Linked DNA regions of Lepisosteus oculatus. The protein of the gene in region 3 interacts with the protein of the main gene of each other region in a pairwise test. Links are inferred from orthologs where the notes say so. Each region holds a gene or a part of one and is shown on either strand. Other genes may lie near its edges.

Region 1 (11,218 bases), on a different chromosome or scaffold from region 3:
ATTCTAAAAGCCTCGTATGGTGTGATGAACAATGTATTTAAGTTGGAGCTCTCTACTGTGTATACATTGTGTACTGCAAGACCTATACCAATGTGAGTTGCTGTTCTGGGGTGGGGCTTATGCATGTCTGTATATTTTTAAGTGGTTTCCAGCCAGACTACCCAGCACTAAACCCAGCTGGGCTGCTGGAAAGTGGTGGGTTACCTGGAGCGCTGTGGGCGGAGGTATTGAGAGGTGTGGCCAGGCGGTCTCTCATCCTCTGGGTGGGGCCCTTGATGTTGGCGCTGGTGAGAGTGTAGCAGGGTGAGAGGCGCAGCCCGTGGTTCTGCTCAGCGTACAACAAGGCCAGGCGGAGCAGCTGGTCCCTCTCTTCACCGTCGCCCTCTGCTCTCCGCAGCGTCTCGGGACTGAACGCCACATCGATCACACTGTACACCTCTTTAAGGGATTAAAAAACACACAGGTCCATCCATCCATTTTCGAACCACTTTATCCAATACAGGGGTGCTGAGGGGCCAGAACCTATCCCAAGTAAGCAACAGACACAAGGCAGGGTAATAACATCATCACTTTTAACTATTATCACTATTAACCCTTTACAATTTCTTGCATTAGGAATTATCTTTTTGCATACCCCATCTTGCTCTCCATGAGACACACAGACAGGGAGAGAAGCTGGGGGTCAGAGCGCAGGGTCAGCCATTGTATGGCACCCCTGGAGCAGCTGGGGTGAAGGGCCTTGCTCAGGAGCCCAACGGAGTAGGATTCCTCTGCCGGCTGCGGGATTTGAACCGGCAACCTTCCAGCCACAGGCGCAGACCCTTAGCCACAGAACCACCTCTCCGCCAAAAGCGTCGTTTTTATGCGCCAGCCGGGAATCGAACCCGGGTGGCAAGAATGGGAATCTTGTATGATACCACTACACCACTGGCGTAGACTCGGTATCTTTTTGGGCTGTGGGAGGAAACTGGAGCACCTCGAGGAAACCCCCATGTGAACATGGGGAGAACATACAGACTCCACACACACAGCACCCCTGGTCCGGAAGGGAAACAAAGGCCCCAGCGCTGTAAAGCAGCAATGCTGACCACTGAGCTGCAACACACAGGCTGTTTCTCTTCAAATGCACTTTCAACTAGGATTGACTCATTTGCAAACATGGTGGGTTTGTTTTTCCTTCTGGAATTGAATCGCGAAGCGGCGCGACCAGGGGAGTGGTGGTACCTTTGCCTTCAGCTCCAGTCGCGAGCTTGCTGGCGCACAGCGGGACGGGGCTGGAGTGAGACTCCGGAGTGGGGACCCGCTTCCAGCTGCACACGTTGACATAGAGCACGCCCTCCTCTGGCTCCTGCAGGACACAGCACAGCTTTGAAACAGGGTGTTCTGCACGCACTCACCAGAATATTAGGAATGCAATGACCACCGTGAATACTGCTTATGTGGTTTGAGCTGCTGCTTGCCGAGCCCTCGCACTTCATTGGTATGGCTCTGCAATATTACACCTTGTGGTTGATGATTAAATCATCTCTTTTCTCACCTCTTCCTCACTTTGATCCCCAGGTACATCTGACAGCAAACTGCAATTGGAGCTCTGGGGTTGTACAGTGTTTAAACTGCATTCCTATTATGTAAGGCGATTTCCACCTACTGGGGTGTAAAAAAAGTCTGTACAAGTACTGCAGTGCGCAGACAGGAGTGAGACGGGGGAGTGTGTACCGGTATAGCAGTGTAGAGACAGGAGTGAGACAGGGGGAGAGTGTACCAGTATCTCAGTGCGCAGACAGGAGTGAGACGGGGGAGTGTGTACCGGTATCTCAGTGCGCAGACAGGAGTGAGACGGGGGAGTGTGTACCAGTATCTCAGTGCGCAGACAGGAGTGAGACGGGGGAGTGTGTACCAGTATCTCAGTGCGCAGACAGGAGTGAGACGGGGGAGTGTGTACCGGTATCTCAGTGCGCAGACAGGAGTGAGACGGGGGGGTGTGTACCGGTATCTCAGTGCGCAGACAGGAGTGAGACGGGGGGGTGTGTACCGGTATCTCAGTGCGCAGACAGGAGTGAGACGGGGGAGTGTGTACCGGTATCTCAGTGCGCGGACAGGAGTGAGACGGGGGAGTGTGTACCGGTATCTCAGTGCGCGGACAGGAGTAAGACGGGGGAGTGTGTACCAGTATCTCAGTGCGCAGACAGGAGTGAGCCTGAGGGCTGCTGTAGTAATCAGCCCCGTCCTTCAGCTGCTGCTGGATGAACCTGCGGTAGCCCTCGGGGCTGCTCTCTGACAGGTCGTCCAGCAGGGACCAGAGCTGGCTGACCTGCTGCAGCACGGCCTGCTGGGAGCACGGAGCCGCCATGCCGCGCCTGTGGGGGAAACGGACACAGGTGACCCTTCTTCTTCTAGAGGGAATTGGTACTGGGCAGACACACAATTTCATCACATGAAAACTTAATAAGCACATGTTCAGTCAAAAAAATATATATCTAGTTCTCTTCCAAGATATCACACTGTCATTCCTGAATCTAGCACAGTGCAGTCCATAAGTATTTGGACAGTGACAGAATATTTGTTGTTTTGGCTCTGTATTCCAGCACATTGGATTTGAAACGAAACAATGACTATGAGGTTAAAGTGCAGAATGTCAGCTTTAATTGAAGAATATTTACATCTATATTGGGTGTAACATATAGGAATCACAGCCCCTTTTATACATAGTCCTCCCATTCTAGGGGACCAAAAGGAATTGGACAACTGGCTGCTCAGTTGTTTCTTGGCCAGCTGTGTGTCGTTGCATCGTTAGTTCCTGCACAAGAGAGCTAAGAAAAGGTCTGGAGTTCATTCTTCGTGTGACACTTGCGTCTGGAGTCTGTTGCTGTTGTCTCTCAACATGAGGAACAAAAAAGAGTCAATGTCATTAACACAGCAATCATGAGGCTGAAAAATCAGAATAAATCAATCACATAGCCAGAAGGTGTATCAAAATCAACTGTTTGGTACATTAAGAAGCAAGAACGCACTGGTGAGCTTAGCATAGCAAACGACCTGGTAGACCAGAGAAGACCACAGTAGTGATGACAGAAGAATACTTTCAATCGTGAAGAAAAACCCCTTTTCGACTGTTGAACAGAGCAGGAACCTTCTCCAGGATGTAGGTATAGATGTGTCAAAAACTACCATAAAGAGAAGAATACACCAGCATAACCTCAGAGGGTTCACCACAAGATGCAAACCCCTGGTAAGAAAGGCCACAGAAAGGCAAGGTAACAGTTTGCTAAAAAGTACATAAAAAAAGCCTGTAGAGTTCTGGGACAAAGTCTTATGGACAGATAAGGCGAAGATTAACCTGTACCAGAGTGATGGGAAGAGGAAAATGTGGAAAAAAAAGGGAACAGCTCATGATCCAAAGCAGACCACCTCATCTGTGGAACATGGTGGAGGTAGTGTCCTGGATTGGACATGTGTGGCTGCCAGTGGACCTGGCTCACTTGTCTTTCTTGATGATGTGACTGCAGACGGCAGCAGCAGGAAGAATTCTGAAATGTACAGAAGCATCTTATCTGCTCAGATCCAACCAAATGCCTCAAAACTCATTGGATGGTGCTACACCTTGCAGCAGGACAATGACCCCAAACATACTGCTAAAGCAACTGTGGAGTTTTTCAGGGCCAAAAAGTGGAATGTTTTCGACTGGCCAAGTCAATCACATGACCTGAATCCCATTGAGCATGCATTTCACTTCCTGAAGACAAGACTGAAAGCAAAAAGCCCTGGAAACAAGCAGGAACTGAAGATGGCTGAATTACAGGCCTGGCAGAGCATCACCAGGGAAGATACCCAACGTCTGGTGATGTCTATGTGTTGCAGACGTCAGGCAGTCATCAATTGCAAAGGATTTGCAACCAAGTATTAAACATGACAATTTTATTTAAGATGATGTTAATGTGTCCAATTACTTTTAGTCCCTTGAAATGGGGGGGCTATGTATAAAAAGGGCTGTGATTCTTATACGGTTCACCCAATACAGACGTAAATATCTTTGAATTAAAGCTGACATTCTGCACTTTAACCCCATAGTCATTGTTTCATTTCAAATCCAACGTGCTGCAGTACAGAGCCAAAACAACAATACCCGTGTCACTGTCTTTGGACTGCACTGGAAATATATTTAGGCATGGAAATATTCCGACTTTATGAGGCTTTGCAAATATAAAATGTGTCTTAGACAGTGACTCCTTTGCAGCACCTTTCATGATATATACATATTATGAAGACGTATAACTCGGGATTTCCAATTAACTTCGATAATATATTGCCTATAATCATTAGGCTAATAAAAACAGAAAAGAAAAAAATAACAGTGAAAATAAAAATGCCGCAAGTCAATCACATTAATGTATTTTTTTTTTTATACAAACACACATTTGTCCTGCTCTAAAATGCTGCCTACCTTGGTGTGCGATATTTGGGTGAGATTTTCAAATCTTCCCACAGCCTCCCGTCTATGCCTTTCTGTTGTAGCTTCTCGGTAACTATAGAAACGCAGTCCGTCAATCCGTGTGGGAGCTCAGGCTGGAAATATTGGTTCCCACCTCGATTTACACTCTTCTGTCATGCAGTCTCTTTCAATGCCGAAATGGATGTATCCGCTTACATTATTCTCAGTTTACTCCTCCGATGTACCGCAGGGTGCTACCGTGTTTAATTGTTCCTAACTGCTATCTTATATCACTATATTTTATTAGCGAGGAAAACAGGATGGGACGTTTAAGCAATGACAACAACGTCCGGTGAAACAACAGAGAAGCGGAGGAAGTCAGTGGGATGAAATAACATGATTTGTTTTAAGGACAAAGAATTACTGTAACAAAAAGGTAAGATTTTAACAGCCTATTAACAAAATCAATTTATATGCACTATGTTGGTATTTTAATGGTATTCATCCTTCAGTCAACTGAAGCTGGCAGGCGGTATTAAAACGAAAATGGAACTCGGTACAATTTCCGCATTTAAAACAGAAAGACACGAATGAAAAGTTTGGGAATTCGCGATAACGGAGCCCCTCTTTTTCGTTTTACCAAACTGCTCCTGCTGAGCCTAAAAAGAGCCTGAAACAGCTTCTACAGGAGCTCGTCACACACGTGAAAAATGTGTGTGCGCTACTGCTGTCTCTTTGTTACTTAATTGTGTGGGAGCTCTCAGTGGGAACAGCTAGGCTTTCGCCTGCATGTCTCAACACGGGAATAAAGTCAACAGTTCCCTGTGCTTTTCCAGGAGCGAGCAGGGAATCAAACCGCTGTATTCATGAAGCAAATTGTTTACCACATTATACCAGTGGGCTATAGACTTGTGTTTTCCTGTAAAAGTAAAAATGAACGTCTTCAAAACCAGAGTCATGGGGGTTTGTGAGTATAGGAGGGTTTTGGGGTACCTTAAGCACTGCCAGTGCAGTTGGGCTGAGCCTTTCTGCCACGCTGAAGAGTTGTTGCTTTGAAAAGGGACTTTTAAGATTTTTCCAGCGTAGAGACATTTCAATAAACTCACAACAGTCCTCTTTGCGACCATCTTTAGAATATTCCTGGTTAGGCTAGGTGTCAGTTCTCCCAACAGATTCACGTTCAGCACATGTAATAGCAAATCTTGGAATTTTCATATGATAATCAGCTTCTGAGGTCTTGCGTGTGATGTCTGTTGTTCCAGCATGATGCTTGAAAACCTTTGCTGGCTGGTTGACCTGTATGAGCTCAGGTACTCAGCAGACGCCTGAATGTTTTGTGTTTTGATAGTGCTAATTTGTGAAAACCTGGGGCATGAAACTGAACTGTAACGACTGTACATTTGGGGTGCAAATTCAAAGTCCAGGGTCCTTGATTAAGAAATTTCTATCTTCTTGCATGTTAGCAAAAGAAGTTGCCCTGGCTAAGTGTATTTACATTTTTGTCTGTATAGGTTTGATCATGTCTCGTGTTCCTATGGGAAAGGTGCTTCTCCGAAATGTCATCCGTCACACAGATGCTCATAATAAGGTAAGCAGGAGTTCATCAGGTACTCCAGGTGCTACTAATCAGACTACATCAAGGGCGCACGCACACACACACATGCACACACGCACGACTTTAGAGATGTCAGTTAACCAGGACAGCATGGATTTGTTTATGAATGTGGAAACCGGAACACCACAGAAAACCCACCCAGACGGTACCCCAATCCAGAATCGTCCTCATCGCCAGCAGCCATATCACCCTGCAACTCACAACTGGCAGCCCCACTGAAGCTAAGCAGGTGTGAGCCGGGTCAGTACCTGGATGGGAGACCTCCTGGGGAAAAACTAAGGTTGCTGCTGGAAGAGGTGTTAGTGGGGCCAGCAGGGGGCGCTCACCCTGTGGACCATGTGGGTCCTAATGCCCCAGTATAGTGACGGGGACACTATACTGTAAACAGGCGCCGTCCTTCGGATGAAACGTAAAACCAGGGTCCTGACTCTCTGTGGTCATTAAAAATCCCAGGGCGTTTCTTGAAAAGAGTAGGGGTGTAACCCCGGCGTCCTGGCAAAATTTCCCATTGGCCTTTACCAATCGTGGCCTCCTAATAATCCCCTCTATGAATTGGCTACATTACTCTCTGCTCTCCTCCCCACTGAGAGCTGATGTGTGGGGAGCGTTCTGGCGCACTATGGCTGCCGTTGCATCATCCAGGTGGGGCTGCACACTGGTGGTGGAGGGGATCCCCATTACCTGTAAAGCGCTTTGAACTTGAACTTGAACTTTATTGCCATATGTAACCGGTACTGGTACAATGGAATTCTTACTTACAGAAAGAAGAGTGGAGTGTCCAGAAAAGCGCTATAAGCTTTTATAATAATAATAATTATTATAACTATAATAATAATTGTAAGCAATTATTATTACTCCAGTATTATTATTACTCCAATTATTATTACTCTTATGATTATAAGATCCTGCCAGATCCTGTCAGGCTGTGGTGCTGGTGATCGGGATTTGCCGAGCTGTAACCACACCTGCGTTTGTCTCCTTCTTTCCTGGTGGGGCAGATCCAGGAGGAGTCGGAGATGTGGAAGATGAGGGAGAAGGAGCGCCAGACGCTGGGTGATCATGCCAGATGGCATCGACGAAAGCTGGATCATGACCTGAGCAGGTTTGCATCCTCCTAAATAAGAGCTCTGTACAGCAGGCTGTGGTGTTCAATAGTGTTCTTAATCTTTCCTAGAAAGACAACCCTGCAGTATTATATAAGTTACAGGAAACCTAAAGTATTGTACTATAAATGGGGGGGAGTGTATAAAAAAGGAGCTGTCAAATTAAAATCCAAAAATCAGGTCCTGAAAACATAGCAAATTCTAATATCAATAATAATAACAACCCTGATTTTAAGGGAATACCGAGCATTACCAGCATGTGTGCTCTTAGCTTCTCCAACACAGCTTGGTAATAGAGTAAAAGGGGGGACCTTAATAAGACAAATATTTATGTTGTTATAGCTACACAAGCAAACAGCACATGGTCTTCATGGCTATATACAGCTATGTACAATACAGTGAGCTACCAGAGACCTGCCTTCAACCTGCATAGAAAATATAGAATTGCTTCCTTATATTCAAGACACAAAACAACTTAAAAAGGCAAATTCTATTTAATATCCTATTTAGCATTCTGTTTAACAAGGGTTCTGTCCAAGACTACATTACTGGGCTTAAAGAGATGCTAAATGAATGAGTTTTTTAAAACACTAACCAATGAGAGAGGCTTTTAGCCTATTGATTCTACAAATGGGGATCAGTAATAATTTACCTTCATGAAGATTTGAACAATGCATGGGGAGCTTTTTCTGAGAACTTGGACTGATTGATTTCTAAAAGTGTCCAGTGCCCTGGACAGGAGGTCCTGCAGGATGCTATCAGCACAGGCCAGGTTGTGTCGCTGTCTGCTGTTCAAAATCACTGACTCTGCATTCCTGCTTAGGGCGCACTCACACAGGATCTGGGTCTGGTTCCAGCTTTTCTGTTCCAGTTCCTGTTTTGAGACCCCTGCACGGTTCCCGATCCTTTGAAACTGGCCGTGCAGAGCTGCGAGGAGGAACGGTAATTTTGTGCTGTTTGGTGTGTCAGGGGCCGCATGCGCTGTGACGGCTTCGACGAGGAGGAGCTCCCCGGGGACGGGGGGGCGGCAACGGCGCAGAGCTCCGAGGGAGACGTCCGCGAGGCCCGCCACTGGACCAAGAAGCTGTACGAGTTCGAGGCCGGCGACCCCGACAGGTTGGTGTCTGGCCAGTCATCCGCGTTAAAACAGCTGACACTGACATGTCAGCGCAGGCGCATTGAGAAGGCTGATTCTCCTGATGCACAAACATTTTCTTACTACAGTAGCTGCAGCAGCTTGCAATGTAAATGGCATTCCTCATATTATCTGGGGTAACTGTTACCACTCTGACTAGTTCCTAGTCTGATCTAGTGTTCCTAGTGTTCATGGAATCCAGCTGTGTCCCTTATAGGTACATCTACTGTACATACAGGTTTGTGCAATTGCCTGTTTCCTAGCGCTGTGCTCAGTGATGTTGAACAACACGCTGCTGTCTGTTCCAGGTGGGGCCACAGTGGCTTTAAGGAGCTCTACCCCGAAGAGTTTGAGACAGACAGGTAAGAAACCCCACAATTCTGTACTGTGCAGCATACTCATCCCCTTCAGGGTTTACCTGTAAAATGTACCCAGTCTGTTACACTGCATACTCTTAGTGGGATCTGGTTTTATGGTCCTTTTTTGCAGCAACAAGTGTCTGTGCCTTTTATTTTAACAAAGGACAAGTATTATATAGACTATATGTCATGGCACATACACGTATGTCTCGTGAATGTAAAAGCAGTGGATAATTCTTGGAGCGTTTTACAGTATAGCTGGGGCTAAAGTGAAATGGCAGGGGAGTTGAGAGGGTGTGACCCACTCCTGTAATATTATCGCAATCCAGTATCTGCAGGAAGACTTCAGCTGGCCCTCCAAGGATACATCTGCTCCCCAGTCGGTCAAGATCGGCCTGTCAATTGAGAGACACTGACTTTGTCACCCCTGTCTCTCCCAGTGACCAGCAGTGCAGCGATGGCGAGAACATCCACCGCCGAGAGAAGGCGCCCAGGTCGGCGAGCCCCGAGTCGGGCCGACGCAAGCGCTCCAAGAAGACGCTGAAGAAGAAGACGAAGAAGAAGGCCAAAAAGAGGAAGAAGGAGGAGGAGCCGGGCAAGCGCAGGAAGAAGAGCAGCAAGGAGAAGCGGAGGAAGAGGAGGAAGGAGAAGGGCCCGGGCGGCAGGAAGGACTCGCACAGCAGCAGCAGCAGCAGCTCGGAGGACGAGGAGACGGGAGGGACCCCCCGCGGCCGCAGGAAGAGACCCCACGAGGCCCGGGCGGAGAGCGAGCACGAGGAGGAGCTGCGCAGGAAGAGGAGGAGGAGGAATTGGAAGGTGGCGGACGAGGAGAAGTCGGAGGACAGCTCTGAGGACTGAGCAGCGGAGGGCCTCCGACACGCAGCCCCTTTCTTTCAGTCCAGATCTCCTCTCGCTCTCTCCCCCTTGGAAGAGCTCCGTAAACGGAGGGGCTCTGCTGTCCCTGCCGCACAATCAGGAAGAACAAAGTGCCGGGTGCAAGCACCACAGAGACCTTGTTTTTGTGAAACTTTTCAGCTCTGGAGTTTTTAAAAGGTGTGGGAAGAAAGGACAGGTGTAAACTCAGTGTGATGGCCAGTGCTTGTGCTGTTTGGCACAGTGTCCATTCAACTAGGCAGAAGCCATTCAGGGATTTTTTGTTTCAGCCCAGGTGTTCTCTGTCTGAGGCCTTGTCCTTGTCCGTGTCCTGGTTCTGGGCCCTGGTTCAGCTGGCATGTGGCTCGCTGGTGCAGCTGCCTCTCACAATAATGACAGTGTTTTTGTACAGCCTTGCTATCGGCACGTCTTTATAATTACTGTTGTTGTGTTGTTATTTCCAAAGCCCCCTACTGTTTTCGGTGAGAGAAATGTTTTTCTGGCGGTCGAGATGTTGGAACGGCTGCCGATGCGCGGACCCAAGCAGGAGCATGTGTCACCTCTCTCACTTCACTTGGGGGGGTGCTGTGTACGTGTGCCCCAGCTTTCACATCCCACCTGTGTGGGCAATAATGGGTTTGCCACTAAACATGGTGAATTTCTGTAGTGTCCTCTTGGAGCTTGTGGACATGTCAGTTGGCATGTATAAATGTAAATGTAAAGTGGAGCCAATTCCCAGGGGTCCCCCACTGCTTCCCAGCAGGCAGCATCATTTCATTGCAGTCTTCCCATAATGCATCCTGACAGGGCTCAAGACAAGTGCTTTAACTTTGTGTTGGCATAGGTCTACAGGTGGCTTTGATTTTTGTGTGTTTTGTATTGCTGTCACCACTTTGTGAAAGTGTTTGACACGATGTGCTCTCATGCTGTTCGCTCAGGTGACAAGACCATCATGTTCCAGCTGTTCTCGGGGATCCCTCCCCACCCCCACCTCACCTGTTGCCATTCCGGAGTCCAGAGAGTCCTTTTCCTTTGGGCTGACACTGACATGGCGTACATGGAAAACTTGTACATGGAAAACCCCCCGTATGCAGAGTGCGATTGACACGAGAGGACAGAGGGGTTCAGTCTGACCCATGTCTGTGAATAGTGACCTGCAGGAACCATTAGTCAGGTGTTTCAGGTCCTCAACACTGTTTCAACCTGCCGGTCAGTGGTGTGTGTTGTGTGACTGTCCATATCTTCTTTTAATTGATTTCTAATTACACAATTTTGTCTAGAACAATTGTCTGTAGTTTGGTGAATGTTATCGTCTGAATCTTTTAACAAACTTTTGTATAGCCTACAGCCCTAATTCCCTTTTTGCCCTCTGTCTCTGGCTGTCTGTGTCACAGTCTTTAGCACCGAAGAGTTTTATTTTCATCTTTTGCCTTGTTCTGGCCTTTTGAGCGTCACAGGGTTTCACGCCGACATTGCAGGCTCTGTACTGCTGCTCCCACCACAGACGCTCCTTGGTTTCTGCAAAAGAGAACTCATTTTAATCTGCTGAACATTGTGTTGGACGATGAGTGGGTTGACCTTTTCCATGTTGACCTGCAGTTTCAACTCTGGCTGCATGCTTAGTAGAGGTTGTCCAACTAGTCCAACTACTTTGCCATTAAACTTCAACTGCGTTGTCCATTCATAGAGTAAGAGTACACCAGT
Region 2 (10,991 bases), on a different chromosome or scaffold from region 3:
CTGCCCTCCAGAGGCTGAAGGCAGAATTACAAGCGTTACCATGAAGGAATTTGAAATCAGTTCAAGGACTGAGTAAACCTGACTCCAGATTTGGGGTATGCACAACTGCTAGAGATTATTACATAGTTCAAGCAGGATAGAAAAAGTCAAACTGCACTTAACAGGATATTTTAGCTGAATAAGAATGCTGCTTCATAATGAGAAAAAGTACCTGTGTTTCAATGTTGCTTTACCTTGACTCCAGATTTGAAGCAGAACATTAGATTTACCTGCTAAAGGTACATTATTTAAAGTCCAAGTTGTTCATATAAATTCTAACTGCATTTAATGTGATATTCTATCTGATTACAAATAACGTAGTGCAGGTTTTAGACTGATTATGATCCTCAAGAACAACATACGACTATAATGCTTGGGCCTTTAAGGGAGGTGTGGGATAATTCTATAAAGATTACTTCTTTATATTGCCATTAATGGCTTGACAAACCTTGCAAAAAACACATACATTTTTCTGTTAAGAAGTATATTTAAACAGAAATGAACATGATCACTTACGAATTTACAGTAAAAAAAGTAATCTGGCCATTTAAATATATATCTGAAAGCTGTAGAGGAGTAATTTTACTGTCTTAGAAGAAGTAAGCAACCTCTTTAACATCTGGCACAATTGTTAATACAACATCTGGGATTGATCCTGTTAGTAACTCAACAGCTACAAAGACTGTCATCCTACACAATCCTACATTTGTAAGTCTTCACCCCATACATTGCTTAATGTCATTTGTAGTTGTCTTTGTCTGCACTACTTATTTCTTAATGAATGGTTCACATTCCTGTGGGTATATTGTGCAATTACAGACTCATTTTCAATAACACTGCAGTGCATGTACTGTACTGTATGTAGATATTATGTACCACTAATTATTGCCCCAAATATCTGTTAATAGCTAAGTGTTTAGTCAACTGTATAAACAAATATTTTTTAGCAATGTAAGATAAATTAGAGAATCAAGCATTATGATCCAGCTTGCAATTAAAAATTAACTATTTAGGGCATGTTTAGACAACAGAACACAGAAGTCTCTCACTATTTGAAAATTTACAAAGGAAGTTTTCATCAGAGGCTGGCAGCTTCTTCTATTGCACACTGCCACATTCTTGTCAATAGACAAACTTCTAAGCTAAGCCCTTAGAAACCCATAACATGTTTCAGAGTAGACCCAAAAATATCATAAAGAACTTTCCATTAGTAGTCAATGTACATATGATAAAAGATAAAATTATTTGGAGAATAAAACCCTTAAAAAACAATTGCAAAAACATCTGTACTTGGGGGAACAAAATCCAGCAAACAAAATCCCAAATCAGTCCAAGACAAATAGTGAGACAACTGACCATGTTTCCTTTAAGCAATAGTATGCCATGTATGCCATGAAAGGAAACGGCTTAGATTTCCTCATCACCAAACACTCCCTGCAGTGTGCCTACATACCTCTGTCTGAACTGGCTAGATGTTTTGACTTTGTTTTTTTGTAAAAACCTAATTCAGCCCACATATTTCCAGCTGGAGATTTGTAATTACAGTATTAAACTCTTAAACTGTTTTTATTAAAATAACATCAAAAACGGACTTAAATTTGGAACAGATCATTTTATACAGTGATCAGAACTACAGCTAGATATTACACATTTGGTGAACATCTCTGAAAGCTCTGTTTGGACACTTTAAAAATCATGTCTTCTTAACAGCTGAATATAATTATAAAATGTTTCCTGGTACTGATCATTTTTGAAGCAGTGAAGACTTTACCATATTAATCAGAAATTTAACATAAATTGTATTTTTTTCTCCTGTGCATGAAAATCAAACCTTCTTTTACATAGCTCAGTCTCAATTACTTACTTTTCATTCTTACGTTCACTCAATAATATCTTCATATATATTTCTTGCTTCATTCTGAAGTGCTTTAAGCTTCACTTCATGCAAATCATTTTGTCTAAAATATCTTTTAATAAATCAAATGTATATGATTTTCCATATTTAACAGAAATTGTGTTTTGAACAGAAGTATAAACTATATTAAGAACTTTCCAACAAGCTGTTCAACACTGATCCCCGATAACAGAAGAAGTACTCACTTGAACCTGTGGAACATGGGACAGTTTTCATAGTTTCATCACCTAACAAACCTGATGGTTCAAACAGAACCGCATGAACCTGTATGAAGGCTATCCAGCCTTGATGCAGATCCAATGTTTAAAATATTTACATCAACTAAACTTAATATTTTTTGCGCCCAATTTAATTTTAAGCATTGCCTTGCCTCAGCACCAAATTTGTATTATAACTCTGTAATGCCATCTTTTGGTTGTGCTGTCACTCTTATCTAAAGCCAATGGTATTTTTTGTGCCTGCAGGGCTTTCTACAATAAAAGGCAACATCTACTGCGTCCCAGAAGGATGTAGAAGCACCATAGGAAAAGCCTAAAAAAAAAAGAAAATTATGACAATTTTAATTTAAAGTGTTCTTGAGTCGATTGCTTGTCTTATTAAAGGGCTGCAGCTTGCTGTTCTGGCTGGAAGGGATAGCTGAGTGCTGGTGGGAAACCAGAACTCCTCAGCTGATCGTCTTGTAGGACCAAGTCTTCCACATCCCCACCCTGGTACTTCCGCCGGCAGATCTTCACCGTGACCTTGCGGCCCTGGAAGATCTTCAGGGCCTCCTTGGCTGCCATGGCTCTGGCACTGTCCTCCCCACGTCCGTAGCCCGTGCCTAAGTACACAGTCTGGCAGCGCAGCTCACACACCTGCCCCTCCTTCTGGATGCGGCTACTTGGCAGGTCTGGGATGTCTTTCAAGGGCACAAACGCACAGGTCAGGCTGGCCTTAGAAGACTCCACACAGGCCCGCAGGATCTCAAAGTGGTTCAGGTTGGGCCCAAATCCCCCGGCTGACACCAATTTCCACGCCACTGCCTTGTAGAGACGGTTGAAGAAGGGCTGGTGGGCACTGGGGGCGTGTGGAGGAGGTCCTAGCTTGGGGGGCCGCATCGCTGCTTGTGAGTTGGCCCTGTTTCCTGGATGGGTCTGCACGTTACTCCCCAGACATCCTGGACCCCGGACTCCACTTCTGCTTTCTTCCCTGCCACTACCAGCCTTCAGCTTCTTCTGAGAAACATCACACTCCCCTTCTGCCAAACAGAAAATCCCCCAAAATTCCAGTAAGGTTTATTATTCTTTCTTGTGCCTCTCATTTTATTGCTAATGAAACATTTAACTATGTTGAGCTGGGGGGGGGGGGGGGGGGGGGGGGATTCCTACCATCTTAAATGGCAACAATGCATGTACGAAAAGAATCTTTAGCAAAGGACTACTTCCCATATCTCACCCGCAGTGACAGGTTATTTCAAAATGATAGCTGGTACCTTCTGATCTTTTTTTCTGAGGCAAACTTAAAAAGTTTAAAGCTTTTTGATATATTCTTTCCCTTTGAGCTTTCATCAACTACTGTTACACCAGAGGATAGAAGGGGCAGATTTCATCTCCTGACTATGAAAGGCTGTAACTGTGAGTGAGATAATGACAGGGAAAAAGAGAAACTTGCTATACTGATGGATGTAGGATTTTCTACAGCATCAATTAACAGAAAAAGGCAAAAATATTTCAGGCACGTTTGAAAAGTTACTTTGTAGTGTATATATAAGTTATTAATTTCATATAAAAAGAAAACATGATTTGTGAATTATGACCCTCACAAAATAAAATACAACAAGCACATCTGCCATGGGCAGCAACATTGCAGAGAGTATCCAATGTCAGTCCCCTGGTTTCTTTTCCAAGGTATCATGCTAAATATTTTATTTTTAGTAAAAACACAATTCTATTAACAGACCTTCTATTAAAATCTTGTGCACACCCAATGTCCTATGTGCATCACAGACAAAAATGCTGACAAACATGTAAACTGGTCCCTTGTGGAGATGCAAAATGCAAATGCTTAAGATTTTGAACCTTTCTAACATTTAGACTTAAATCTGCAAGGTAAGTGATCCTACTACATAAACAATTCAGAGATGAACTCTACTCTGCCAAAAGACTGGGACTTCTGCCACAGAATAGCACACTGTCTAGATTTGAAGTAAGATTATATTGTTCCAGTAACATGATCAGTGCACTGTGTCCTGTTACATAGATCTAAAGGCAAAAACTGTGTATTTTCAGCTATATGACCATTTACACCGGAGTGGCAGATCCTTGAGAAAGGACTTATTCTAAAGGAGTCAAAATAGCTGAGAGGGTAATCTGTAGAAGAACATGGTAAAGTACACCATCTCCAATAGGGATAAAATGCTTTTTACAAAGCTCAATCTTCCATGGAACAAAACTAATGTTATATGTACATAGCCAATTCCTTTGAAATGCACTCCTAAATAACATCGTCCTGATCTGCATATTCATAGTGATTGGCAGTGAAGCTATTACCTAAAATGCTCACTTTTCCTGGCTGTCACATGAAGAATTACACAAAATAGCACTCAGTTATTTTTTGTGTTACACCTGTGTCAAACTGCATTCTGTTTCCAATGTGGAAAGTACTCTCCAAAGGTACTGGATCTAATCATTACACACCATAGTGCAACCACTTTTGAGCCAAGTCCAATGTGAAGTGAACAGGGCTGTAATACATCACAGTTTTACACACTGCCCATACTTCACCTGTGGAGGCTGTTCTCTTTCCTTTGCCCATTAGCTCATCTCTTGTCTTGCGAACTGGAGCCTCATGCACGACCACCCCTTCTGCCATCTCTGTTATCTTGTCCATGACAGGTTGGGGATACCTGCAAGCAGACAAGAAGCCCTTTCTCTCCAGCCTAGGTCTGAAGAATGCACAGAGTACCCCACTGGAAAGCAACAGTTTCAATTTTGCAGTAGACTACAAGCTCTCTGCTTTAAGAATCTATCTTGCCTTCTTAAATAGTCTTTGAGAGCTTCTAAGAGATCACTACTATTCATTCTTTGCAGCTTTCAGACCATGTTAATTCAGCAAGATTACAAAAAAGTGTGGAGCTGGATGGGTTTATGTCACACGTTTGGATTAAACCCCCACCCAGTGCTTCTTTGTGACTCACCGACAGCCGAGAAAGACGTGGTTCGCCCAGACCATGGAGAGAGACAGCAGCTGGTCCAAGCTGCGGCTGGGAACTCCTGGAGTGATGCCGGTGAAAACCTCCATGTTCCGGAGGATGAACTCTCGCCTGGCACGCCACTGTTTGTCCGTCTCGCAGTGCCCCCGCAGGCTCTCCACCCACTGCTTCAAGTGAGCGTTCTGACGGAGAAACTCCGACACGATGTCGTCTCCACTCCTCCCCTCCGCCATCTCTGCAACCCCAGACAACTCACTTTTAAAAACCGTGCATCACTCCAATGACCTTTCCGTGCGAGAAACCACCACCTCTCGGCCACTCTGCGTGGTTTAAGACGAGTGTTAAATTAAATCTGAGCCGTCAAAAACCGGTTAAGCGCATTTTAAGACGTGTGTGGCGTATCCCAATTACAAACTGTGCTGAGATACGTTTTTACATTCGAACGTTGTATCGAGCCTACAGAACCAAATGAAAATATATTATCATCAATGTGAATTCATCTGAGAACAGTATAGTAAGTGCCCAGCTTCTGTTCGTTCTGTTTTGATCGTTTATTAAATAGTTGCAATCTCGGTACAATGAGATCTATGTTCTGTTAAGACGTATTAAAACAGAGCTCGTCTGAATCTAATAATCATTTTGTTGTCATCATACGTTAAACTATCGAATACATATAAACCACCTTTAATGGCTACTTTTTCGAAGAGAATGTTGGAAAAACTCATAATGTACTTAAGATTTTGTTTATATGTTTTAGTTAAGTGGTTTAACACAGACTATCTCAATAAAGATAAATACATTCCTAGCAGACCTCGTTTACCGGAATGTAGGAATTTAATGGTTAAAACAAGAAGAAAACTAAGTTCCCTACACCGATTACGTAGGCTTTAAGTTAAAACTGACAAAATACACTGATTTTAAAAACCTTAAACTGTTATGAACAAAGGTAAACAAACACAGGAGAGAATTTTAGAAAATGCAGGGCCTACTTAATTCTAGTAGCAAGGCTCAAGTTGCTCACACCCCTTACCAACAAAGGCTTGCTCTGAGCTCTACGTTAGATCTGGAAGAGAGAAAGTGTGTTCAGATGTCGACAAAAAAAAAAACCACAGGCAATTACAAGAAAAATAACCTAACATCGTATTTACTACGAGAACATCCAGCAACTCACCCGTTTCCCTCTGCCAGTAGTACTACATGTCCCAAGACGCAACTACAACAAATAAGAACTACAACTCCCACAACCACACAAGTCACGCTTCATCTAGGCCTACCAGTTTTAACTGGGCTGCGCAAAAAACTATACTTCCCATACTGCACTGGCGTGTTGTCGGCAAACGTCATCGAATTGCGGCGGTATGTTTGGCGGCTGCGTTAAAGAAAATACAGTACTGTGTTGAAGTCTTGGCACAATATTCCGCCTTATATCTTAAATTTCTTTTTGGAAATAAAACTTGCAATGATCCATGAACTGCTGCTTGCTCTAAGTGGGTACCCTGGTACCATATTTACGTGGAATAAACGAACCGGTTTACAGGTGGGATTGAAAAAATATTTTTCTATTGCTTTTTCTAATGCCGAAGATAGATATAATGAATATATTTCCAGCTGTTATTTTAATTTATGTTTTAAAACGCTAAGACTGAAACATGTAAAAAGCATCTGTAGGCTGTGAGTCTTTCTATTAGGCAATACAGAATGTAATTTGTATTGATCCAGTGTATTTTTACAGAGACATACCTATCATTAAAATGTGGTTTGCATTCATTGCTTTAACACTAGATCCAATTTTAGAAAACATTATCATTGCCCTCTTGTTATAGAATGTTTTCTTCGACATTATTAACTGCATTTATTTGCCATTGTAATTCATTACGTACACTCTGTCTCTGTTCGGTTTAAAAGAGCATTGTCCCATTCAACGACAGGCAAAAATAAATGTGTCCCAGTGGTCCAATGATCTATGACTGTGCTGCAGAGAGTCGGTGCTCAAGAGGAGATGTAAAACTGAGGTCCGGATTGCTTAGTCACTAAAGATCTTATGGCATTGTTCAAAAGAGTAGGGGATTACCCCCTGTATTTCTCCCTGAAATTCACCTTTAATCCATCTATTATAATCATGGCGGTGCTGGTCATATCAATTAGATTAGCCACTTGCACTCAACAGTGGGTAGAAAATAACGAACTGATTCACACAAGACCATAGCTTTCCAGTGTTACCTGTATACCAAGAAACCATTAGGTCCGGCAGAAGTTATCAATTAAAAAAGCAGCTCTGGTTTACCACGGACAAGGCATTAGAACTGCTGTGCTGAGAAAAATTTACCACTCTGGAGTCTGTTTTTGATTTTGCCGTTACTTTATAGCACACATTTACTTGCACCCACCTTACCCATATCATCTATTATTGTGTATGTATTACTCTGAGACCTTTTTGTTTTTCCCTCAGGTGTCCCAGGACCTGCCCTTCCTCCATCCCAGTGAGAGCAGTGTCCTGAACAGAGTGTGCAAACTGGGCTCTGACTACATCCGCTTCACTGAGTTCATTGAGCAGCACACGGGCCACGTGCACCAGCAGGTGAGGCACTGCCACCACAGAGACAGGGGCCAGAGATGCGCGCCGGGGGCTGAGGACTTTGGTCTGAGAATGTCTAGTGAGTTTTCACTCCTAAAGAACACGTAGCAAACAAAACAGCAAAAAAGGAAAAACTATTTTCTGGGTTGCAATATTAAAATAAATATGAAAAATATTAGCTATTAAAAGGAGCTGTATCCTATGCTGCTTGAAGTCAAAGGTGCAGAAAAGATTTGGGTTTGTTTTTAGAGTTCAGGCATTTTTTTACGGGAATTCAGATATTGTACTTCAAAACAAAATGTTTTCTGTGGAAGGCTGAATATTTTAAATTAACCTATGTTATGTAATAAATTATGAAAACTAATTCAGACCCTCTACTGCTATTTACCAGCTACTTGCTGTAATTCCAGTGACTTTAGAGAGGCTGATTTATCCTTTATTAAACATTGTAATTTAGCCTGAAAGCAACCTACAGGTTACCTGTTTCCCCTGCTTTTGTAGTGTTCAATGTCCCAGGATGCAATTGTAACAAGGAAGAACTACAATTCCCACAACTGTGTATAAAACACTTTGCTGCACCTGTATCTTTGCTGCTCAAAAACCTATATGCATTATATCAAAGCAATGTAATTATCCTTTCTTTCACTTCAAGTAAAATTGATAATGCTTAACCCCATTATTTTATACATCAGGTTGGGACCGCAGATAAAATACATTTTCATAGACCTTCCTCCTTTTGCCAGGATAAGTAATGCTCAAAATAATTATTAGCGGGATAAGAATAGGGTTTTAACAACTCTTTGTCAGGTTGCGTTGTGTATCTAATTAGCCTTTTCCTCCCACTTTTTAGGCATTTTTCGTTATTAGGAAATTTCCGTCGCTCGTCTAGTGAACGATAATATGACAATATTAAATGTTTTTGTGGAATCTTAGTCTGGTCTGAAAGCAAGCTCATGACAGTGTGAGGGGAACATTGTAGATCTTGCATGTTTACTGGAACCCTGACTGTTCACTGCGCACACAGGAGCACCATGCTTCCCAGCCAAACCAGTCTGGACTCCATGGAATCTACCTGCGAGCATTCTGCACCGGGCTGGACTCCATGTTACAGCCCTACCGCCAGGCCTTGCTGGACCTAGAGCAAGAGGTAGGAGGGGCGGCTGAGCCGATCCTTTCTCTGAACTTTGATAGTTACCAGTTCACACTATACCACACGCAGAATTCTTCTTTCTGCCTCTGTACAGTTGAGTCCAAAGCTTCCCTTCCTGACTACTTATAATACCTTGACTCCCTTCTACCTGGCACTTTCTGTGCTAAGTCTAAAAACTGATATTCTCCCGATTCATGAGACAAAAAAAGCATTACATTGATAAATACAGAATTTATATTAAGTATACCAGTGTACTTCTGATTTTTCATTCATGTTAAAATGGTTTTGCTTTTTTTCAGTTCCTGGGGGATCCCCATCTCACTATCTCCCATGTCAACTACAGGCTGGACCAGGTAATTCAGAGCACTCAGACTTGAAGAGCGCAAGGGTTTTATTATTTATTCAGTAACTACAATAGTTTTTATTACACAAAGTAGTACTTTATAATGTATCGTCAGTGTTCTGATTCCACATAAAATAAATGGTATCAATTTTTTCTTCACTTTTTCAAATTCACCAGGTATAGTCAATGTAGTGTGAAAGAAGCACCAGAAATCATTCTGAATGTAAAAATTTAAGCACAATCACTTATACTGTGGGTGTGATCAGGGCTGAGCTCAGACATGTGGAAACAGCTGTTTTCATTCATTGTTTCTGTGTTTCTGCTCTCTAGTTTCAGCTGCTTTTCCCATCTGTTATGGTAGTGGTGGAGTCCATTAAGTCCCAGAAGGTACGTTTTGCACTGCACCTGGCTGTGCATGAGCTCTGACTCGAAAGCAATTGACAGGTCTGCAGGAAGAGAAATGGAATAAATATTAATGCTCTGTCATAGGCTGTGGAGTTTGTCTCCACAGGATGAAGTATATAAGGATTAATACATTCCTGTAGGTGAAGAGGTCATGCTGAATGTTGCATTTCTAAGTAAAAATATTGATAAATTGTGTTGTTTTAGTGCTAGTTCTAAGACTTGCATCGTTAATCAGTACTGGCGAACTCATTGGTGCATATTGATGGTGTATCAGATGAATAGATATGCCGGTTAAACAATTCTGATGTTATTTTGCATTAGAATGGTATGTGTTAATATTATATAACCTTAAAGGGAGTACAGTCATCTTCTGTTCATCCATAAAACACCTTGGATCAGCAATGCAAAAAAGAAATTGACCAGTGGTGCTGATTCTGTGCACTCCTGTACATTTTTTCTGAGTCTGAAAGGCCATATGGGCTAAACAGTATATGGTACAGAAAACAGTTTGGCTATGTCCTCTCCGCTGAGCAGATCCATGGCTGTCAGATCCTGGAGACGGTATACAAGCACAGCTGTGGAGGGCTCCCCCCTGTCCGCACGGCCTTGGAGAAGTGAGTGGTGTCCCCCTCTTGGCTCAAGACTGATATCTCTGTTTTAAATGTTTTTGTGCTGTGGCTCTTCAAGCCTTTTCTCTGAAGATCACAGTTCAGCTGTACAAGGAGTATTTTTCCTAACACTGGTTGCTAGGAAAAGTTTAGGTCATATCGATGACCTTTAAACCAGCCATACTGTATGTCCTGGTTTGGTGGCTCCCTTTGAAGCATTCACTGTTCTGCACTGCTTTATCTAGCTGTGTTACAGTTTGACCTGTTGGCTGTGTACTTGCTTTCCACCTTGCGTGCTGGTGTTCAGAAGAAGGGCGTTCTCAGTCTGGGTCTGTCACGCAGGATCCTGGCAGTCTGCCACGGGGTCATGTACAAACAGCTGGCAGCCTGGATGCTGCATGGGTTGCTGCTGGACCAGAGCGAGGAGTTCTTTGTGAAGCAGGGCCCCAGCGCAGGGGGGGCGACGCCTGCCCAGGAGGAGGAGGAGGAAGACCTGGGGATTGGGGGGCTGAGCGGGAAGCAGCTGCGAGAGCTTCAGGACTTGGTGAGTGGAGCAAACAGGTGTGGGCCTTAAGGCAGACAGGACGCAGAGTCAGGGATATATAGAAGAATCCCCTTGATTTGCAAATTGGGTATGAGGAAAGAGGAAAAGAAAGGAAGTTATCATTCTGTGACTATAGAAGGATTCAAGCAGTGAGGGAAGTGAGAGACAAAGGGTGAATGCTTCAGAATACTTGGACTCCTTGAGTGAGATTGCTTTAAAGGG
Region 3 (11,214 bases):
GACATTCACAAAACCCTCCAGCGGAGAGCAGAAAAGCTTCATTGTGACTGCAGTTTGGACTAGGATCCAATGACTCACTGGGTGTCTGTTCTGATTAGCAACCGTCAATGATTCAGCTTTTTGGATATAACAGCAGTTGCACCCTAGAGTCAGGTCTATTCTCTTTTCTCTCTCCCACACTCTAGACTAACAGGAAAGACACTGTCTTCATTTCTCGATGGTTACACTAGTCATCACATAAGTTTTCAGGTACAGCTGTGACTTGAATGAATCCGTTTCCAGTATGACAGAATATGGGGAAAAGTTGAAGGGGTCTATAAAGGCCCTAGGATATGGTGTAGTCTCTATCCCCTGTAGCTATCCCCATTGTGTGTTGTAAATAGAAAAGAGCTCATCGGTAAGGATTGATTAGGGCCAGTTGTAAAATTGTCCTGAGTTAATTCAAGCACAGATGATTGTTAACAGAAGTTCTGTGCTTGGTATACAGTATATAAGGGTGTGGTAGATTGGAAAGAGTTCTCTAAGACCAGGCATTTGTGCTGAAAATTGGATGCTTTTCAAAAGCAGCAATAACAGAATGTTTACTGTATATATGAGACTATTGTTCTGCAGGACAAAGATAGGAAGGGAAAGCTGAAGTTGAGCCTCCAAAAGAGGGGGCAGATTTTTTTGCAGCTCAAGCACCTCCTTTGTGTACTACTGTAGCACAGACTCCCCAACGTGCTAGATGACAAGCCGTGAAGATCCCATTTGTGGAAATAACCAGTTCCCTTAGGTGTTGCACCAAGCAGAGACTGGAATGTCTCTACGATCTTGAAAAGATAATGACAAAATGGCTTCTTAATCTGATAGTTAGCTTTCAGTATATGACACATGATGCATAACATAACATAACATGAGATGTTATTCCACCTGTTTTGGCTGATGATAGCTAATTATGAACATGTGTGACAGTTCACAGGGATATGAGTGAGTGTACAACTGTGATCTTGCATGTCTAAAATTGTTTTCCCTTCTCATAGGGAGAAATATCTCAAATCATCAACTGTACTTGTAACTTTCTTGAAAAATATAACTCACATAAGACCTTCAACTCGTTCACATTGCATCCAATAGCTGCTTATCCAGTTCGGGGTCATGGTGGCCTGAAGCCTATCCCAGCAGGCACAGGTACAAGGCAGGGCACCCTGGGCAGGACACCAGTCCATCACAGGGCAGACAGACTCAAAGACACTCACACCAGGGCCAGTTTTCACAGAAGCCATTTAGCCTACCAGGAGGTCTTTGGACTGGGGGAGGAAACCCACACAAACACAGGAAGAACATACAAATTCCAAGCAGGTAACACCCCAAGAATTGAACCCAGGGCCCCAGCACTGCAAGGTAGCAATGCTAACCACTGTGCCACTGTGCCACCCATATACCCTATCTTATCTTGGCCATAAAATAATAGGTAAAACATCACTATACAGTGGTTTGAGTGCTCATTGGAATAGACCCTTGTTGCACAGAATACAAGCTGACACCTTGAAAGGAATTGCTCTGATCTACAAAGCCACATATAACTCTCTGCATTTTCTTCTTCAGCAGCAATGCTGGAAAGTTGAGAATCTAGCTTTAAGTTCACAGCAGTTCAGAAAAGAAGATTCTTTTATTTAAGTGCCAGGCAGGCTGTCTGAAGTTAATGCTGAAGACTATTAGAGCCTTGGGCCTGTCTTGTTGATTGTTGTCATCCAAGGGATGGCTCAATGCAAATGGAATCTTTACACTAGTCTGTGCTTTTTCTTTTGCTGTGTTCTGGCTCTTGTTGGATAAGGCCATGAATCAGCCATTAGACTTAGCCAGCTCTAGATTTGGGGCAAGAGGAGGCTTCTTAGACTCCCTTCAAAACAGAAGCAAATAAAAACATTTAATTGCCCCTGATTAGAGATGTATGACTACTCACTTTCTCCCAAGGCACGTCTCCAGGACTCTCCCATCCAAATGTTTTTTCCACCTTGAGGAATTACCAGAGTGACTAGATCTGAGGCAACGACTGTAGCACCCTGAAAAATCCTTGGTTTGTAGGATTTGTGTGAAAATAATAATGAGACTTCATCGTATGTTGTGTGTGTGGAGGCAGGGCTTTAAAAAACAAATTAGTGGAGTGTTAAAGAAGTCCCTCTTATTTAACTTCAATTAACAAGAGGATTAATTTCAGTTTGTTTGCTGTCTTTGTCCTCTCCTTCTTTAAAAAAAACAGAACACAACAAAACAAAGAAATACAATAAAAAGTAGCGTCTCTTGGTCTCTGTACAGAGTAGCACTAGTGGGCTGTTTGGTCAGACTGACAAAGAGCTTTCTCATTGGTCACTGAGTGGGGGGCTTGCCAGTTTGTCACAAAGCCAGGCGCGAACTGGATGTTAACAACTGGTTGATTCAAAGCAAGCGGGGCTCTGCTTTTCATAAAAAAAACGTAGGTGTGAGGAACCAACTTTACAACCATGTTGTAGTCAACGATGTTTGGATCTACTGGAAGAAACTGAGCCATCTTCTTTTATTCCCAGGTGTCCTAACATTCAAGCCCACGGAGATCGGTTTTCTGCTCTTATACAGCTAGTGCATGAAGACAAGTCCCATTAGTTCATTGTAGACCCTGATCAACTCTTTCTATTAAATGACACCACGTCGTTACTGATACTAGGAAGAGCACTTCTACAGGTGCCGTATTAGCCTTTTTAAAAGGAGAATGTTCTGCACAATTACACCCATATCTGATCCATCTTTTAAAATGTTTTCTCAGGGGTAAGATTCGGGTAACCATGCCTGTGACACTGTGTGCTGACTTTGATCCCTGACCTCCCTGCTGACCTTGAGTGACAGGCTGTGGAAAATATCCGGTTAAATCAGCCAGCAATCTATAAACCTACTGGAAGCAATTAGACAAGAACAGCTCCATGATCAAGAAATTTCATGAAACATGAAAATTCACTGCCATGAATCTAAGTCCAGTTCAAAGCAGGAATTGTGCAGACAGTAATATTAGTTTTATTATCAGTATATATTAGAGCAGGGAGCTATGTCTGGATGGCTCCACAGCTCAAATGTGTATTTTATTTATTTTTACTGTAAGTGTGAAATCCTGAATTCACACATCAATAACATAGTTTTCCGCACTGTTTATCATGGCAAATAGATACATAATTGTTAACAGCAAAAGAATTGGCAAATGTATAACATTCCCATGTTTCCTGAAAGCCATTCTTTCTTGGATAAGTGTCTTAAACTGAACAGGCTATGAGGGACAGGGTTTGAGGAGAAGCATAAATTGGAAGGTTGTCTCCATTTTTTTATCCCACTCTTTTATGGGAACTTTCTCATTACAAAAAGGAGGCCTAGTAGTCTATGGAAGAGAAAGCAGTCATGCAGTTCAATTTGATAGGGGCCTGAGGATTAATAACCCCCATTAAGACAGTGTGGGCCCCCCTGAACTCCATGCCTTCACAGGGACAGACTACATCGCTCACGCACAGCAAGATGAACAATACCTCTTTCTCCCTTCACCCATGCCTCTTCTTTCTTCCTATGCAAGGGGAAGGAAAAGCTCGTTCCCCTGTAATGAGAGCTGTGGCATTATTAAAAAACCCTTATAAAAGCTTTTCCAGGAGGTCTGTCCTTGGAGTGTTTACAGACAGGGGGCTGGAGGCTCGGTTCAGGGCTGTTCCGGCAGCTCATGGCTGGTCAGACGTTCCCAGAGGAGCTGCTAGGGTGAGCTGAAGGAGAAAAGGAGAGGAGGAGGGTGGGTTACAGGAAGAGACATAAAGGGATGGCCAAGATGGAGCTGTTCAAAGTCACGTTGAATTGGAAAAGGGAAATTTAACATCATTCATACACACCTGTGTTCGGGGAGAGATCCATGGTCCACTGGTTTTGATTCAAATTAGTCTCTTCTATTCATCTATTAATTGACTCAATTAACGAGTTAATTGTTCTAAATATCCACTTTTCCGATTTAGGTACCGATATGTTCTAGAAACCTGATGGGACTGTAAGTCTTTAAAACCTGGAAAAACACTGTCCTTGATCTATGATAACTTTTTTATGATTAAAGAATCAGTTTAAGAAAGCCACTGAATGCTAGGCTTCATTTCTGCACTGAAAAGATCTTATATGTATTGTTCAGATAATTAGCTTTGGTTTCTGTGAGTAAGATTATATTTTATTATAAAAGATTATATTTTATAATTTTATTATAAAATTTTAAATTTTAAAATAAATCATCCAAAAATGCTGTCTCAGTCCCACAATCCCCAGAGAAAAACACTTTTTCGAAAAGGGCCCCAGGTTTCTATGACAACTGCTGCTAATCAATTCGAAACGGACCCCATATTTCTCTAAGACTCGAAAGTCACAGAGTCATTAAATGGATCTCCCATCTTACCCCAGTTCTTAACCCCGCCCTCCACAGCCCAGAGCTTTCTGCAAAGGATAAATCTGTCGGAGTGAATGCTGGAATTTCAGGCCCAATTCACACGAGAGGGAGGAGGTACAAAAGAGATCATTTAATGTCTTCTTACCATCCTGAATAAGTTGACCTGTAGAGTAAAACCACCCAACCAGGATATGAAGTACTACTTCTTTGTCCTTCTACTACTTGCCCAATCTATCTATCTTGTTATAGTCTCGTAAAGAAACATTTATTAAAAATTCAGCAGCTGCATCAGAATCATAAACATGTTTTTGTTCAGATGTTGTGAGACTTAATGCTCTTCAGCAGGGTCTGTAAACCGGAGGTAGGACATGGGCTGGTTTGTGATGAAGGAATTAGAATATGTGTCTCAGATCTTCAATATTGTTGCTTTTTGAATCCTGTTTGTAATGTTGATAGGTTGGCATATTGAAATTGGACAGCAAGCATAACTTTTCTTTTTCTTTTTGGTTGGAAATACAAGTTCTGCCTTTCATAAGCAATTCTTTTAAATTAATAAATAAGATATTGTAATAAATAATATTATAGTAATAGTGACACACCTGAAGAAGGCTCCACGGCCGAAACGTTGTGTTCTGTTTCTTCTTTTTTTCAGCATGGAATAAACCTATTACTTGTTCCCTTATAGTAATAATATATATTTTACAACAGGGAAGCTAATTAACTTGACAGCTGCTTTGATGTTGCTGACTTAAAAATGTACAAATCGCAGCTTTCAGAAGAACAAGAGAAAAGTAAGATTCAGGGCAGGTTTGAAAGTCTTGCGATGACCGCATTGTTCTTGTGCTCTCTCTTTCAGTGAGCACCATGGTTGAACGTCAACACAGACCCAGCGGCTCACAGCCCCTGAGCCTAGAATGGTTTTTGTAGCCTCAAGTGATCTGCGAATACAAGGGTTGCGCTCAATGGGATGGTAACCCATTGCTGTGTGACACCCGAGCAATCATTCAAGTCATTGTAAGCAGCAAGGTTGACTGGAGACAACACAATTGGTAGAAAACATTTTCAGGAGCCCCTCAACACTGTTTGTGTGCTTGGCTGATCCAGTGATAACTCCAAAGCCCAGACCATTTTATAGTGACCAGAGGTCTTTGTGTTATTTAGAGGGCCAATATGTCATATGCCAATATGACCAAGAAAGGAAGGACTCAGTTTTTACTGTCTTACAGTGCTGACAGATATATGGAGTTTTCTAACGAGTGGAAGAGAAGTTTACTGTACGCACTCATGCTCACACCAGTGCAAAGCTACTGGCAGCTGAAGTGCACAAGAGCAACACAACACTAGTGATGTCGTCGCACATCTCAGATAATTGAAAACACTGACATTTATTTAGATTGTGTCAGCTGAGGGGAAGATGAGAGGTGCTTAAAAGGTGAAAGCAATGACAGTCGAATACTGTAGTTTGATAGTCGTAATGGACACACAGAATGTCCTTTATGCTTGGTTAGTAGGCAATGTTAATTCTTAAATTAATCCTAAAGGATGTACAGTAGCTATAGCCATACTGTACTTAAAGTGAAATTGATTTTTATCTTACTTTTCTTGGCTTTGGCCTCATGCAGACAAAGGTAGATAAGTTCTATGACTAGGAAGGACATTGTAAAAGAGTGCCTACACCTTTGCCTACACCTTTTTTTTTTAAATCTTCATAAAATAAATCCTTGCAAAGTGTTTTGTAGATGGCAGTGCTTTACAAAACTGCGGCGAGAGTCCAGTGAGTGTTATTTCCAGTAAATCCCTTGGACGCAGTGTGCAGCCACACTGATTAAAACCGTTTTGAAAACCACAGTCCTGCAGCAGAGTTGTTCCCTACAGTGCACAGGAGTACTTCAGGCGCTCATTATCTTTTTTTTTCCCTCCTGAATAACATTCCAAAACTCCAGCTTGCAGAAAGCGAGAGAAAGCCAGGAGAGTTTCAAGTTCAGTAGACGAGCACAATGGCTGGCAAGTCCTAGCTGTGGTGCTCCCCCTCCCCCTGCCTCTCTCCCCCTCCTGTCTCAAGCCCTCCTGCTCAGGGTGGGGGGGCGGAGGACAGTGTCTATAAAAGCCGGAGAGGGACAGAGACCATTTCATTTGCTGACTTGTTCCATTTCCACCGAACACCATGAGCACGAACATGGAGACCCAAAGGGTGGTGGCGTCTTCTTACAGGAAGAGGTTTGGGGCGTCGGGGAGCGGTGGAAGGACATCCCTGTCCTCTGGCCGATTCGCCGTCCACAGCTCTCCCCGGCTCTCGCACTCCAATGTCACGGCGCGCCGCAGTGGAGTCGTCCTGGGCTCCTTCACGCCCGACAAGCTGGACTTCTCCCTGGACACCGTGCTCAAAGCCCAGTACAAGGAGACGCGCACCAACGAGAAGGTGGAGATGATGGAGCTCAACGACCGCTTCGCCAGCTACATCGAGAAGGTGCGCTTCCTGGAGCAGCAGAACAAGGTGCTGGTGGCCGAGCTGAACCAGCTGAGGGGCAAGGAGCCCACCCGCCTGGGCGACATCTACCAGGACGAGCTGCGCGAGCTGCGCAAGCAGGTGGACCAGCTGAGCACCACCCGCGCCAGGCTGGAGATCGAGAGGGACAACCTGGCTGAGGACCTGGCCCACCTGCAGCAGAAGTAAGCTGGAGTTTCCCCTATCAGCATTCCCAAAGCCCCGAGCGTAGTCCTTTCAGATTCCGGGGAGAGAATAACAGTACGGCGGCTCCAAGGATCGCTTTGGTGCCACAAGCAAAAGCCTAAATCTGGAGTCCAGCTACTACAAGAGATAGAATAACTGTCTCCAGTTCAGGCAGGATAATTCATTAGCCATGTCTCAAAGGGCCTTATAAATTGGCCCACAAGTATAGATCAAAAGTAGATCTATAAGTGTGTGCCAGGAATTGAAAATATACTTTAAGACATGATTTAAAAACGTACAGTATAGTCAATATCCCTTAACAATGAGCTGGTATATTGCAATGTGCAATAGAGTGTAGCCTAGGTTAAGAACAATGGGGAACTCGTAAACTATAGAATAAAGTCACCAAGGAGAACCTGTTGGATGGGTTGGAGAGCAATACTCTTTAAATCTTTTATAATGTAGTGACAGAGTTATAAAATATGTCCCAAATTTAAAATGCAAAGAATCCAGTAGAGGAGTTATGCCCCATTCAGTGCTGCTGATTTTCCTACGTGTCGTCGTGTCTGAGAGTATGCTTAGTGTCAGGCAAAACTGATGTCTCCTCTTGCTAGAGCCTGTACACGCAAAATAATTAGGAGTTTTTCAGAAAGTTTTTTTGTGCTCTCCAGGACAGGAATATTTATAACTTAAATGTTTATAAATTATTTTGCTTGTGTTCTTCAAATAAAATTCTTCTAAATCTATGCACAAAATAAAACAGCATCCTATATAGTATTATCATATGCAGTATAGATTTGAGCTGGTTTTACTAGGACATTCAGAACAGAAAGGAATTCAGAGTACAGTTTTGGAAATTGCCCTGGAAAGATGATGTCTGCTGACTAAATCTTATCCTTACAAGCCAGAGTGAACACCGAGCGTGAGAGTGTGTTTGTGTTGTGAGTGCCAGTGCCTGCATTTGTAGATGCAAAATTAGTGTGACACAGCAGGGCAGAAGAACTAGGGTGGAATTAAAAACTTTTTCAGTTTTACATCACAGATGTGGTGCTGCTGGAAATGTTTTGTGTTCAACTGACATTCAAAGCAGTTGGAATGTAGGATATTTTGATTCCACTGATTTTGGTATTCTTCATACTGAAGGCTGGTGTCCTCAAACTATTGAAAAAGGGTTTTATTGTCATCAATTAAACTGTGCTAAACTAGAGATTTCTGGTAAGATGGGGTTTGCAGATAGATATCATATTTGTGACGGTTATACAGATCTTAAAACCTTCAAACCACTGTTAGCTTATTCAGTGGTATGGATTTGCTGTCTAAAGGTGAAGTGAACTAAGGTTACCTAAACAGGGCTAGAGTCATAAATCATAGTCATTTGCGACAGTTTTCTCAAGAAAAAATAAAATTAACAACATTACCTGTGACTGTGCACCTATCAGGGATCTGAGGAGATGGAATCAGTCATGCCGCTTTTATTATATTATAATAACCTGTAAAGTTATAAATTTATCCACTTGGATCACTAAGCTGCATGAAGCCTGAAATGTACGGATTTATAGCCTTGAGTTTACTAGCAAATAAACCTGATGGCCCATTACTGTAGCTGCTTGAATTTCGCAATATGAAGTCGTTTGGAGAACAGTCGAGTGAAGGAGCCCCCTACATTTTATTATGTACATAGGCTTTTCACTGGGCCCCACAAAGAGCCTGACTGTGAATTAAATTCCTCTTTTCAGCCTTGCTTGAAGTGACAGCTGCACGAACTCTTGCATTCATGCCAGTACTTAAAGAAAAGCTTTGCTCTTGATGAGTAATAGCTGTGATGGGTTCATGCATGCTTTCCCACCATTATTAGTGAAATCCATCTCATCCTCATGTCACACAATCAGACCTGTTTAATGCACTATTATTCTTTTCCTTGTATTTATTTTTTCCCTTTGAAGTGATTAATTAATCTATATTAATTGCTCCTTTTTTACTCCCATAATGGATTGGTAGTCAGCTTGGTTCAGTTCTATAACCTGCTTTACCAATATAGAGGAGATGAAGGTAAGTCGTGTCTGTAAATGGCACTGAGAGTCCCACAGTGCAAACAGCAATGCTAAGATAAACATTTGACAAATGCACATGAAAAATAAAAGTAGTTAGCCTCTTTTTGCCAGATAAGCAAACATTTGACTGTTGTCATCCAAAGAATTCCTTTCCTTGAGGTTATTTGCACAAGGTGAGAAAAGCTCTTCTGCCATTTGTCAGTTAAACAACAGTACAGTATAGACACTATGAAGCATCTCCAGATCCCTTTCCAGCTCAACCTCCTTCCTCCAAAACACCATGGAAAACAATGGAAAACTGAGACCACAGTTCATCCCACACCTCTGCCTAATTTATGTCTGTGCCCAAAGAATGGTGCATTCTGTCAGAGACTATGCCACAAATAACATCTCTGACAATTTTATTCTTTGGGAATTGCCAACAGTGGGCTGGGTGGCTGCTGTCCCCACAGACAAGTGTGACAAAGGGGCCTTTATTGTCTGGCCTGCTGGCTGTCAGAGGGAGCATGGGCCATGCACAGCTGCAAAAAGTTCAGTTTAATCTCTTAATCTTTGTCAGCGCTGGTGATGTTTGTGGTCCTTGTACACAACAACACAGACTCTTTTTTGCCCTGGAAATAAAATAAAGGTGGATTTTAGAGCGGATGTAGAAGTCAGCAGATTGTAGCTTTCTGTTGATCCACGTTTCTCCTAAAAGGATTATCAATATTGTGTATCTGCCTAATTAAAGCATCTAATTATTTTTCTGTGTTCAAGCAGTTCTACATGTGTAGAAATGCTGACTTATGGTAAAAGAAAATTCATTTGAATGCACAAAAGAGTTATGATGTTGAGTCTCCTCCTGGGATATATTAAAAAAGTATCCCAGATTGTTCTGTGTTTTTAATTTCTTTTAGTTTTTTCAAGGGCTGCTATCTTCTTTGGTGATAGTTTGTTTTCAGATCTGGTTGCATTGTTGTTCGTCAAACAACCTGCTTGCTTCTCATAAAAACAAACACATTTCTTAGAGCTTTCTGGGTAACCCAGACATTACTTTACGTCTTTGTGCTCTGAAGCTCACTTCCTAAGAACATTTAAAAAACCATCTAAATGACACTGTGTTATCATATGGTGCTACACCTGTTTGAGTAACAAGTCTGTCACTAAGCTCCAGATTCAGACACCTCTGAGCGCCCAACGTGCTCAGCCCAGACAAGTGCCACAGCAAGCACTCTGAAAGCTCCAGCTCTTTGCAGAGCCAAGCTTGAACATTCTTGTGAGCCCTGCGCTGTTGAGACAAAACTCCTTCATCTTGCACTATGGGACCCCTAACGGCTAAAGGTTTTCTTTTCATTGTTGCTATTCTGACACGTTTTCAAACATAGCCATTGCCTTGTCTAGAACTATTACACTGTAAACCACGATCACTCCAACACATCACCTGGGATTTGGTTCTGTGTTCTGTTGCTCTGTATGCTTGAGGCTGCTGTCTAACATCTCTTGTGGCCTCTTAGTACAGGAGAAGTGTGTGCAACTTTCAGTCCCCATGTGAGTGCTGTGAGACTGACAGCATCCTCCAGGGCATGCTGTTGTGCTGAAAGCTTTAAAGATTTAAAAAGTCTACACTTATCCTTACTAAAGTCATACATTTCACAGGATGTCAGCAATTTTCTACATCCTGCTTTTTAAATCCCTCTGTAAAGCTAGTGCTACGCTGATATACTTTGCCTCATGACTGCTTACAGACATGCTTCAGGAATTCACCAGGAGCATTTTATTGGAAAAAAAAAACAGTTATATTCCCCTTTCATTCTTGTCAATTTTATACTCACAAAGCATTGACTTTATAGCTTGTGCTGTGGCTTGTACAATAGTGGGACTAGGGTGACGACTATAGAAGATTCCTCTGAGAGGTACAGAGATAATCCATATGCCCTTTTCAGTATGTGAGCCCCACAAGGGATATACTGTAGCAGAGTAATGAACTGAAGGATGTGCTGCAGTTCTTGCTGACAGCTCTGCAAACCACAGAGGTTGCTGTTACGTGCGAAGTGCAGGTTAACTGAAGCTCCCGTTTCCTTACTGAACATTGCAGCTTGAAA

What was found. The genes of interacting proteins can lie anywhere in the genome.
Region 1: the proteins of gfap (region 3) and PIH1 domain-containing protein 2 interact in binary tests that used the Homo sapiens proteins (3 or more experiments, as listed by UniProt). The two-hybrid records come from large-scale screens. The link is inferred for Lepisosteus oculatus from reciprocal best matches to the Homo sapiens genes GFAP and PIH1D2.
Region 2: the proteins of gfap (region 3) and tubgcp4 interact in a two-hybrid assay, tested with the Homo sapiens proteins (2 studies listed by BioGRID and IntAct). The two-hybrid records come from large-scale screens. The link is inferred for Lepisosteus oculatus from reciprocal best matches to the Homo sapiens genes GFAP and TUBGCP4.

Annotation. Positions count from the first base shown.
Region 1 is NC_090718.1:15,286,519-15,297,736, reverse strand, and holds the start of PIH1 domain-containing protein 2, read right to left. Parts: upstream 4,530-11,218; 5' UTR 4,442-4,529; intron 2,358-4,441; 5' UTR 2,351-2,357; coding exon 2,168-2,350; intron 1,349-2,167; coding exon 1,225-1,348; intron 935-1,224; exon of another isoform or gene 864-934; intron 439-863; coding exon 205-438; intron 1-204. Other genes in the region: uncharacterized protein NKAPD1, read left to right, coding at 5,730-5,739, 5,941-6,017, 7,043-7,146, 8,117-8,263, 8,591-8,644, 9,082-9,499.
Region 2 is NC_090700.1:49,614,366-49,625,356, forward strand, and holds the start of tubgcp4 (gamma-tubulin complex component 4), read left to right. Parts: upstream 1-6,462; 5' UTR 6,463-6,603; coding exon 6,604-6,681; intron 6,682-7,593; coding exon 7,594-7,722; intron 7,723-8,743; coding exon 8,744-8,866; intron 8,867-9,168; coding exon 9,169-9,222; intron 9,223-9,542; coding exon 9,543-9,599; intron 9,600-10,151; coding exon 10,152-10,231; intron 10,232-10,567; coding exon 10,568-10,769; intron 10,770-10,991. Other genes in the region: cdkn2aip (CDKN2A-interacting protein), read right to left, coding at 2,551-3,191, 4,717-4,838, 5,130-5,377. UniProt on the Homo sapiens protein: Component of the gamma-tubulin ring complex (gTuRC) which mediates microtubule nucleation.
Region 3 is NC_090723.1:1,939,761-1,950,974, forward strand, and holds the start of gfap (glial fibrillary acidic protein), read left to right. Parts: upstream 1-6,463; 5' UTR 6,464-6,575; coding exon 6,576-7,081; intron 7,082-11,214.